Arabidopsis thaliana: one gene and its partner. The protein of the gene in region 1 purifies or fractionates together with the protein of each later gene. This does not show direct contact. Each region holds a gene or a part of one and is shown on either strand. Other genes may lie near its edges. The genes, in order: RFC2 and MCM3.

Region 1 (4,731 bases):
GAAGAAGAAGAAGAAGAAGAGCTAGATCTTGGACTCAAATCTCTTCTTCTTCTACTATTCCTCCTACGATACTCAACACAAACACAAACCATATGCATCATACATTGCAACCCATACCCAATAATCCAAACCCTAAGAGGCATATTCGGATTCTCATCGCTGCTAAGTACCAAAACAGCTGTAGCAACAACGACAAAAGCAAGATTCCAAACGAAATCCAAAACCACTACAGGTTTCGAATAAGCCCAATCGCTTTGTCTCTCTTCAAGCTGCTCAGCCGCAGCTTCACGAACAAGCATCGATGGCTCTCTCATCATCATTCTCCCGCTACTTGCATGTCTTAGTAACCTCGCCGCTTCTCTTAACCCTTGTCTTCTCACCGATCTCCTTCCTCCTCCTCCGTCGGTTAAAATCAAAGGCGTTGCTTCCGTCGTCGTCTCTCTTGACATTTTGCTTTCTCTTTTCAAAGTTTCTTCCTTTCTTCGAAATTTCAAAAATTGATATCGAATTGATGAAATTGGTGAAGCTTTACGCCATTAAATTGGGGCAATTTCAATCTCAGAGACAATTTCGGATTTGTTAGGGTTTCGATTCGAACAGAGAGAGAGAGAGACAGAAAGAGAAAGAAGATGATGAGTCGGACAAATCGGGAAACGTGATGTTTGAAAAATGAATATAAAAAATCAAAATTGTAATGAATTTAATGTCTCCTCAAATGACAACCAGAGAAATTAGGGGACATATATGTAATATTCAGTTTTTTCAGTGGCTATATGGTAAACTTACACTAACTTGATTCAAATTAAGGGTGGGTAAGAAACTGAACCAAACCATATTAAACCGAAATTTATTCTTTTGTCCAACTGAGTAAAAAATTAACAAAAATTCGAAAAATTTTAAGCATAATTTTTAATCGAAAACCGGAATAAATCTAAATTAAACTCAAATCCAAATTGAAAATTTTTAATCGAAAAAATTATAGTTTATACGACATCTATTTAGGGAACAAACCCAAAAAAAAACTCAACTAATTTTTATTTGGACGTTTAATACCCAATTGTTTTTGGTTGGAAGGTAAATACACGAAGTAATAAAACCGTGCAATTTAATACACAAACAAGTAATTGTTGTTATTTTCATACTCACGATCTCACAACAAAAATAAAATTCCAATTTTACCCTTACCATCTCAATTAATTATTAATTTTTTTATAATATAATATTAAATTTTATAATTTTGAATAAAAAATAATTTTATTAACATTTTAGTTTATGGTCTCTAATTTTTATTATTATTATATTATTCTAAAATTTAACATAAAAATTATAGAAAATTAAAAATATTTTAAAATGGCCGGTAAATATTCTTCGTAGTGAGAAACTCTCTTTTCGATTGTATATCCTTCAAGAATCAAACTATTTTCGACAAAATCTCAACCCGAATCTCATCGTATTTCTCAAGATTTATCAATTCATAAAAATGGCTAATTTTGTTTTTAGTAGCAAAATAGCTAACCTCAACCCAAATCTCAACGAATTAGATTAATCTTTGATTCTAAATTTCCTTAAAGAGAAAACGATTCTTTGATATTGCAACGATAGAAGAAGATTGTAATAATGACTATTTTAAAATATTTTTGATTTTCTATAATTTTTATGTTAAATTTTAGAATAATATAATAATAATAAAAATGAAAATTTAAATTTTAGAGACCATAAACTAAAATGTTAATAAAATTAATTTTTATTTAAAATTATATAATTAATATTATATTATCAAAAAATAATAGTTAATTGAGATGGTAAGAGTAAAATTGGAATTTTATTTTTGTTGTGAGATCGTGAGTATGAAAATAACAACAATTAATTATTTGTGTATTAAATTGTATGATTTTATTATTTCGTGTATTTACTTTCCAACCAAAAACAATTGAGTATTAAACGTCCAAATAAAAATTAATTGAGGTTTGTTTTGGTTTTTTTTCCCATCTATTTATAATAAAATAGACCAATTTTAAATTTATCGAACCGAACTGGGCATAAATGTAACAACGAGTTTTAAAAGGCGGGGCTATATAGTGAAATTAATATACTTTGGGTACAGAATTCGGATGTTTTCTTTTTATAGGCCCTTTAATGAAATGATTGTATAAAAGTAAAACCCTTAATCGGATCCTCCAGCAATTTTCCCTCCAAACCAGAAAACCCTCCAAATCTCACCGGTCGGAGATTCCTTCTCTTCCGACTGATAATGGCGTCTTCTTCATCAACCTCTACCGGTGACGGATACAATGAACCATGGGTGGAGAAATACAGGCCGAGCAAAGTAGTCGATATCGTTGGAAACGAAGACGCCGTCTCCAGACTTCAAGTCATTGCTCGCGACGGCAACATGCCTAATCTTATCCTTTCCGTAAGATTTTACTCTTCTGTTGACACTCTTTGATTTAAACCCTCCTCGAATTTGCTAAAAAGTTTTAGGTTTGATGAAAACTTGATCAATTAGGGCATTTTGGGTTTGTTTACTGTGTAGATTTCATGATAAAGCTTAGATTTTGAGGGTTTTTAATCAATTTCTATTGTCTGCCAAAGTTAATGAAGGTTTGATTTTTAGAAAATCTCTGTGTTTAGTATTACTTGTGGAGATTTGATATATGATTTTGTGTTGTTTGGTTGTATATCCTTAGGGTCCTCCTGGAACAGGTAAAACCACAAGCATTTTGGCTCTTGCTCATGAGCTCCTTGGCACGAATTACAAGGAGGCTGTTCTGGAGTTGAATGCATCTGATGATAGGTATGTGATGCCAATCTTTTACCTATGGGATGTTGTTCTATCTTCAATCGTTGTTTGGTTAGACATCTTCAATGTTCTGTTATGTTTGTAGGGGTATTGATGTTGTAAGGAACAAAATTAAGATGTTTGCGCAGAAGAAAGTAACACTTCCTCCAGGGCGTCATAAGGTTGTTATCCTAGATGAAGCTGACAGGTTAGTGACTTTTACTTGAGTATTCCTTCTCAAGTTGAATTGTTCCAGTTAAGTGTTTTTTTTTCTGACTTTCTGTTTTCGGTTTCTAAAAAACTAGTATGACATCTGGAGCACAACAAGCATTGAGGAGAACGATTGAAATCTATTCGAACTCTACGCGGTTTGCACTTGCTTGTAATACATCAGCCAAGATTATTGAGCCCATTCAGAGTAGATGTGCCTTAGTTCGATTCTCTAGATTATCTGATCAGCAGATACTAGGCCGTCTCTTGGTGGTGGTTGCAGCAGAGAAAGTACGGATTTGCCACTTTTCTTTCATTCGACATGTTTACTTACTGCAATTTTGAAAATTTTCTAATTGCTTATGTTTTCAATCTCTCAAGGTTCCGTATGTGCCTGAAGGCCTTGAGGCGATAATCTTTACAGCTGATGGTGACATGAGGCAAGCTCTGAACAACTTGCAAGCCACATTCAGCGGGTTTTCGTTTGTCAACCAAGAAAACGTCTTCAAGGTTTGAAACAAAACCTTAATTCACTTTGGCTTATAAAACACATTGGTTTCATATCATCAATCAAAGATCTCTTCACTTAGGTCTGTGACCAGCCTCACCCGCTTCATGTCAAGAACATTGTTCGCAATGTGTTGGAAAGTAAGTTTGACATCGCCTGTGACGGCTTAAAGCAGCTCTATGATTTGGGCTACTCTCCAACCGACATTATCACAACGCTTTTCCGTATAATAAAGAATTACGATATGGCTGAGTATCTGAAACTTGAGTTCATGAAGGTATACATCTGATTCTCCTTGACAGCTCAAAACATCCAAACTTTCGTCTAACACCAATGCTTTTCTTCAGGAAACTGGATTTGCGCATATGAGAATCTGTGATGGAGTTGGATCTTATCTTCAGCTATGTGGTCTTCTGGCTAAGTTATCCATTGTTCGTGAAACAGCGAAAGCACCTTAAGTTAGGTAACTTCCACTCATCTCTAGTGATGAACTGGTGGCCGGTCTATGTTTAAACCAAGTTGGTTAAATCTCGTTGTTTGAGAATTCGGATAGATGTTGGAACTTCCATGCTGTATTGCTCTGTTTTCTAGATTTGAATTGCTTGTGAATGTTTCTGAATATTAAGCTTAATCCTAACCAGTTTGGTATACCAACACATTTTTTTATATAATACCATGCTATTTGTTTAAATCACATAAATGAAAAAAACAATACACAGATTATTTTACACATTACAACCACTCTATATAGTCTACGCAAGTGCGAGAGATGAATCGTAATTTTTGTAGGTAAAATGTTGAACCTATTTGTGTAATTCGATAACACTATATGAGTAAGGCATGACATTGTGAAATGGTGTAAACTCTTGGTCTGTTACATTGACTTTATATTATGAATAAACACACTTGTGACCAAAAAAAAGAAAAAAGAACTGGGAACAAGAAACGAAATAAAGTTATATTTATTGAACCAAAACTATAAAATACGTTTGGTTAAAAACCAAATCTACTACAGTAACCATAATGATGACACGTCTGAAATCTTCTTCTGTAGCTCGTGTGTGTTAACCTAACATTGAAATACACAAAACAACGTATCAGAGTCATCTTCATGAAGCTTACAGACACGATAACAACTAAATACACACCATGTAACATAAGGACTCTGTTGCGAAAAATATCAGAGTAAAGCAACATGATTCACCTCAGACTCCTCCTACCTCGAGGACAAACT
Region 2 (6,551 bases), on another chromosome or scaffold:
GATATTTCCAATTTGATGTCTTAATCATCTTTTGTACAAGGTCATAAGCAAATGTTTCATAGCCTCTAATGTCTTATCCCCTTACATTACTACACATACGTCTCACTTTATGATTACTTTAAGAATTTAGAATTCTTAGAGTGGAGACAAGTTTCTCTTGCTCATGGCCTTAACATTTCTGAGAAGCTCTGGTCTGAATCAGAGACATGTATGGCCTAACTACGTAAGTTTATTTAGTAACTCAATTGTTTTGACTAGGGTTGATAGAGAAACGTGTGCAGTAACCTACCAAAATAGATTTTGTTATTTGGCAACAAAAAAAAAAATAGATTTTGTTGTATTACTCTGTATACCAAAACTGATTTCAATCCGTCTTTGTGGAATTTAACCTGATTATATGTACAATTTTAGAAACGTATAGGATCCATCATGGACAAAGCAAACATGTTTTGGAAAAAAAAAAAAAAAGTAATAGAGACCAAATGGAAAAACATGGATCTTTTAGACGAGAGAGTTCCAAGGTAGTGATTATTAGGGTTTTGAAGTTGGCTTATATATGGCACAACTCTATTCTTACCATTGGGTTAAAACAACATATACACTATAATCTTGATGTCGATTACATATGTATAAAATTTGGCATAAACAGCTCAAGAAATTATAGGATAAATATGAAAGTATTTTATTCTCGGATTGTGCTTTTCGTTATAAATTCCAAATTTTATAATCAGATGCGTTTTTTTAAGCATTTTATCATCAGTTTTACTTCACTAGTAAATGCAAAAAACATAACGTATGAATAAAGATTTTACAAAATGATATTTTGGTTTCCAAGAGTTTACTACTACACTATTTTTGAGTTCTAATATGATGATGATGATGCAATCAATATTGATTTCTTCATATGATCAAATGATATGAACTTTGCCATCGCTGATCATCACTTTGTTATCATCTTGCAGTTTCTGCATAAAATCCACAATAGAGTAAAGTTATGAAGATATTGTATAAAAAGTTAAAGAATGAGAAAGCTTGTCTCTTAATTTGTGAATTACCTCTAAGAGAGCCATAATCTCATCTGCAGAGTAACGAGATGCTCCAACCCCATTGTTGTTGACAACAGTCTCTATATCTGCAATAGAGATGTCATCGAGCCTGTGTGTCCTCATGTGCTGCCCAAACACTCGCTCAAAGGTTTCAATCCTTGCTGCAGAGACCGTGCCGCTGAATTGCTCTACAGAAGGTTCATCTACTTCCATTGGATCTGCTGTTTCACTGAATGGACCAGCAAAAGAGAAAGAAAAAAGTATAAGGGTTGAGAAAGCTGTGATATAGGTTTCCATGGAGGAGATCAAATTAGTTTACCTGTCGACATTTGCAGTGTCATTCTCTGCTCCATCTTCATTATTCCTGCGTTGGTTGCCTCTACGTCCACTTGGTGTTCTTTCTTGTTCAGCTTGTTCCCTTTGACGTTCTTCTTGCTCACGATCATCCATCTCAGTTAATTCTTGATGATATATTGCAAAGTTCATAAGCTTCAAGGCAGCCTCTGCATCAGCTTTAGTAACCTTTCAAAATAAAGTTATCACTTTAGAAAGAATCTGAATAGAACATATTCACGACCAGGTGGGGAAACAGAAGATTTGAGTTAGATTGTTACCTCGCTACTCAACTTCATTTTGGCATGTGCCGTAGCAAGACGAATTATTGTCTCTAGAGTTCTGGCTGTTATCGGAAGCGTACCTCCAGTCTGCAGAGATTTCGATGGTTGTGTCAAATACAAGTTCCCAAGACGAAAAAGATACAGTGTCCAATGTTATTTTATGAAATAAATTACCTTAGTATCGGAACCTGCATTTCTGAGATCTGCATATGCTTCTGCAATACGTTCCGATGCCTGCAAATTTAATAACAAAAGAGATTTAGTGGAAGAGATTATCAGATACATAAAAATTTATATATTTGAGTTCACTGTCTCACTTCATCAGTGAGCTTTGGTGTAATACGGTGCTTGGCGTAATGAATGTACTTCTTCAAGAACTTAATCGTAAGGGTTTTATCATGTGTTTGGCCTCTTTTCTTCTTCCCATGTAGTGTTTGGTTATACTTAACAAACATTTCACTCTCAGCATTGTCTTCTCTCGCGTAAGGCAAGCTCCCATCTGGCCCTGCCTCACCTATGGTTCACTCAAAAGTCAGATGCGTTTCAAGACATGGGTTGTGAAATGTTTAGTAAAACATAGAAGCATGATTTGTTTCCTACCTCTATCGTTCTTGTAACGATGCATGCGCAAGACATGTTCTGAAATCATGCTGTCGATACCAGCATCCATTTGATCCAACACAATAAACAGTAGATCAAAACGAGAAAGCAGCGAATCTGGAAGTCCAATGTTCTTTGTTGGAGTCAGTGATCTGTCATACTGCAGGAGCAAGAGTAGGTATTAGGACAAAAAAATACTAGTCAGTAGAGTAAGTAGATTAGGAAAACTTCGGTGAGAACTTACAGTTCCGTATATGGGATTTGCAGCTGCAACCACACTGCATCTAGCATTCAGTGATGCATGGATACCGGCTTTTGCAATTGTTACAGTCTGTTGCTCCATCACTTCGTGTATAGCAACTCGGTCCTGATCATTCATCTTATCAAACTCGTCAATGCACACGATACCTTTATCAGCGAGGACCATTGCACCAGCTTCTAGTCTTCGTTCCCCTGATGAAAATGAGAATTTGATTTTAATGAGAAATAGCACTTTTGACCTTCCTTCAAATTTTGATTTTAGCATTTGATAAAAAAATGTGGAAACGCTTTTGTGTGCTTTTTACCTGTTTCTTGGTCAGAAGTCACAGCAGCAGTTAACCCAACACCGGAAGAACCACGGCCTGTGGTTGATATAGCCAAAGGTGCAATATTCATTATCGCTCTCAGAAGTTGAGATTTGGCAACAGATGGATCACCAACCATCATCATGTTGATGTCTCTGAAAGCACAAGATTTGTTTTCAAGTGAAGAAAGAAAAATGAGTTAGACAAAAAGTATCCAATGAGTCGAATCTGAAATCTGTTTTCAAGCAAGACTTACCCCCTCAAGTGGGTTCCGTTCTTCAGGTTCTTTTCAACACCACCAAGCATCAGTAAAACTACTGCTTTCTTTATCCAAGCGTGCCCATAAATAGAAGGTGCTAAGGAACGAGCAAGGAGATCAAATGCATCATCTCTTCGTGCAATATTTTTAATGTTATCTAGGTCTTGCTTAGTGTATATAGGTGCATTTGCTTCTTTATTGAGCAGAGCGATATTATTGGCTATGAGGATAGTCCTACACAGAAAGAACTCGGTCAAGACTATCAGAGTGAAAACATCTTGAACTAACAGATGTGTAAGAAAACGCACCTAAAGACTCCATTTACACTACCCTTGCTTTTTCCAGGAAGAGCTTTGTAAATACCGAAAACAGATACTCGATCTCCTGGCTTGCATGAGTCAACAAGGTCATCCTCAGCAATGACATCAACGCTTCGTGGAAGCTGACCAGGAGCAGCATTTTCAGGCACTTCTTGAATTGACAAGGTCTGGTGATCTTTGTATTTGCACAGCCCATACTCAGTCACCAATAAGTTTCCCTTATCATCCTGAACAAAAAAAAACTCAATCTTCAGTAAGAGGCAAATCTTCCAGCAGTACAGGTAAATGAACAAAACGAAAACAAAAAACATGTAATTACCCTTGTGGGATAGACAGAGCCAGTGGGTAAACCAGCGTGAGATGTTATGTCTCGATAATCTCGATTGGTAAATTCACCGGTTGATGGACAAAAGTGAACGCTTTTAACAACCTTTGGCCTCACAAGAGAGCCTGAAAGCAAAGCATGTGTCAGAGGTTCAAAATCTTCTACGTAAAACACAAAGGAAACAGAAGAAAAGCAGAGGAATAGAGTGAAAATGATGAGCTTACATTTGGTGACAATGCCCTCAACACAGACCATAGATCCAATAAAATCAGAGAGAAGCTCTCTAGGAGTAACAACGCGAGAAACAAAATAACCTTCAAAACCAACAAGGACAAGCTCTCCTTCCTTCAAGTATTTAGGGTCAATAGCACGAGTAGCTTCAGTGGCTGCGTCACAAAATGACTGCATATACTCATTTGGATTCTTCAGTATCCTATCCAAAAAAACCAAAGCAATCAACTTTAAGGTCACAAAACATATGACAATTGTAGTGAATCCTTAAAAATCCCCAAATTAACCTCACTGAATCTAACAAAACCCTAAAATCTGCCGTAAATTCATAACCTTATACTAAAGAACCGATTAAAAATTCGAGGAAGACAAATTGAGAAGATGACGAACCTAGAGGCAACTTCCCTGAAGTGGTGGTGAATGTCAGAGATATTAATAATGAGACGGTGACGCTTTTGATGTACCAAAGCCTTGATTTCCTCCATATACATCTACACAATCCGTAAAAAAAATCCAATTTTTCAAATTAGATAAGAACAGAAGCTCGAGAAATGTCTGGTGAGAAAAGTGATAGAAATCGACTTACACTATCGAGGAACTGGATAAAATCTCGCTTGTGGCGAAGCCTCGTCTCCTCTGGCACATCCATTTCTTAACAAAATCTGGGTTCTTCGTAAGAACTTTTCTTCTTCTACTTAAAAAAAAAAAACTGATTAGAGATTTTCGATTTCCGATTTCGAGAGGCATAAAGGGCGGATCTTCTCCTTATGGCGGGATTTCGTGAGATAACCTGTACCCTTTTTGGCGGGAAGGGTCATTTTGGGCCGATATTAGTTGGGCCTTTCGTCTACGTGCTTTTTGATTAACCAAATTTGGGCCGGTACAATTTTGGACTTACGTCTACGCGCTTGTTTGGCGCGTTTGATTTCCTCAAGGCGGTATAATACACCCAGATTCTAAACCAAAAACCAGACATACCAAATCAATTCATTGTAAATTCGGTTTAACTTTTGCTACTGCCTTCAAGCCAGTAAACCGAAAAATGTATATATGAAAACCAAAATAAACCTGTGTGATTTGAGAACATTTTCGGATGTATCACAACATATGTATAACTGAAAAAAAATTCAGTATAAATCTAATTTCTTCGAATGTAAAAACACGACAAGAATTGTTGAGAAATAAAAGATGAGAATCCCCTAATTGGATTATTCTGACAATAACACCGTTACTACAAGATTCTCTCAGTTTCTGTTTTTATAAATTACGCAAATATGGAACGAACTAAGATACACAACATTCCGCAGACAAGAGAGAGAACAAACAAAATCTGAAATCTCAGCAACCGTAAGAAACGGGGAATGAAAGAACCGCAAAAGGCCAGAGGAAGAGCTCCAACTTGTGAACCAAGAAGCTGCAAGTGGTGGTGATGGATGATGATAGTAACCGATAGGGCAGAGAATCTAAAAGGTATGAAGAAATCAGGGTTTGAAGGCAGAGAAGGCGACTACCGAGTTGTGTCCACCGAACCCGAACGAGTTTGATATGGCTGCAGCAAAACAGAAAGACATTAATCAGTGAAACTGTTGCCAGTTTAATCCAATGAGAAGGCGGTCATGTTTGTCACTTACCAACATCAACCTCGTGTTGCTTCTTCTCGTTTGGGACCGTGTCAAAGTCCACAGCTTGTTCTGGGTTCTACAATGAGAAAACAAAGAGTGTGAGAGTCTAATACAATGACCAAGTTCAAATCTTGCAACAGTTCAAACTGAAAGCGGAATCAAAGAAGCCTTTTCTTGACTTCCTGTTATACGTACAAATTGGTTGATGGAAGGATGCAGCCATCCAGTGTTGATAGCCTTCACGGTGGCGATGGCTTCTAGACCTCCAGCTGCACCGAGGCAGTGACCTATCATAGACTGTAACAGAAACTGTCATTCACAGGAAATGCAAAGCAAACAAATACATTGAAATAGAGGAGAAGAAGAACACTCAATCATAGAGCATTGGGGACGAACCTTGGTGGCGTTGATTTTGATCCCTGAAGTGCTCTTGAATACCTTTTTAATGGCATTAATCTCAGCAAGATCACCAGCAAGAGTGGAAGTTGCATGTGCATTGATGTAATTTACCTGAAAAACGTGGAATGAATATAAGTAGGGAAGTAACACGAATCTAATGAAGAAATTTGTTTCAGATAGCCTTAAAACTTAGGAAGCATGAAAAGTTTGTGTTTTTTACCTCCTCAGGTGATACACCAGCATCTTCCAGGCATCTTTCAATGCATGAAGAAACCCCAAGACCATCAGCTCTTGGATCAGTCATATGGTGAGCATCACAATTAACAGCACCTCCAAGATATTCTGCTACAATTGGAGCACCACGTTTCATTGCATGTTCCAAGCTTTCCATCACCTATTAGGGCATACAACAATTAGTGGGTCTCTCCAAAACAAAATGTCACATGTATGAGCCAATCTCATGGTGAGATAAACCAACTTTGAAAATGTAGTACAATTCAAGTGCAAGGAAACTTCCAGAGCTAATAGACTAGGGAACACAAGTTTCATCAGATTCTATAAACTAA

What was found.
Region 2: the proteins of RFC2 (region 1) and MCM3 fractionate together in Arabidopsis thaliana (co-fractionation; one large-scale study listed by BioGRID). This does not show direct contact.

The regions. Positions count from the first base shown.
Region 1 is NC_003070.9:23,421,292-23,426,022, reverse strand, and holds RFC2 (replication factor C 2), read left to right. Parts: upstream 1-2,108; 5' UTR 2,109-2,251; coding exon 2,252-2,413; intron 2,414-2,687; coding exon 2,688-2,794; intron 2,795-2,885; coding exon 2,886-2,987; intron 2,988-3,084; coding exon 3,085-3,280; intron 3,281-3,370; coding exon 3,371-3,499; intron 3,500-3,579; coding exon 3,580-3,774; intron 3,775-3,844; coding exon 3,845-3,955; 3' UTR 3,956-4,189; downstream 4,190-4,731. Other genes in the region: AT1G63170 (Zinc finger, C3HC4 type (RING finger) family protein), read right to left, coding at 1-449. UniProt on the Arabidopsis thaliana protein: May be involved in DNA replication and thus regulate cell proliferation.
Region 2 is NC_003076.8:18,768,994-18,775,544, forward strand, and holds MCM3 (Minichromosome maintenance (MCM2/3/5) family protein), read right to left. Parts: upstream 4,711-6,551; 5' UTR 4,614-4,710; coding exon 4,551-4,613; intron 4,456-4,550; coding exon 4,355-4,455; intron 4,167-4,354; coding exon 3,958-4,166; intron 3,859-3,957; coding exon 3,728-3,858; intron 3,636-3,727; coding exon 3,397-3,635; intron 3,323-3,396; coding exon 3,086-3,322; intron 2,985-3,085; coding exon 2,830-2,984; intron 2,717-2,829; coding exon 2,508-2,716; intron 2,424-2,507; coding exon 2,264-2,423; intron 2,178-2,263; coding exon 1,981-2,177; coding exon of another isoform or gene 1,969-1,980; exon of another isoform or gene 1,898-1,968; coding exon 1,838-1,897; exon of another isoform or gene 1,751-1,837; coding exon 1,661-1,750; coding exon of another isoform or gene 1,649-1,660; exon of another isoform or gene 1,569-1,648; coding exon 1,366-1,568; coding exon of another isoform or gene 1,362-1,365; exon of another isoform or gene 1,276-1,361; coding exon 1,056-1,275; intron 966-1,055; coding exon 909-965; 3' UTR 656-908; downstream 1-655. Other genes in the region: AT5G46270 (Disease resistance protein (TIR-NBS-LRR class) family), read right to left, coding at 86-97; KASI (3-ketoacyl-acyl carrier protein synthase I), read right to left, coding at 5,446-5,513, 5,596-5,662, 5,734-5,883, 5,983-6,096, 6,206-6,379.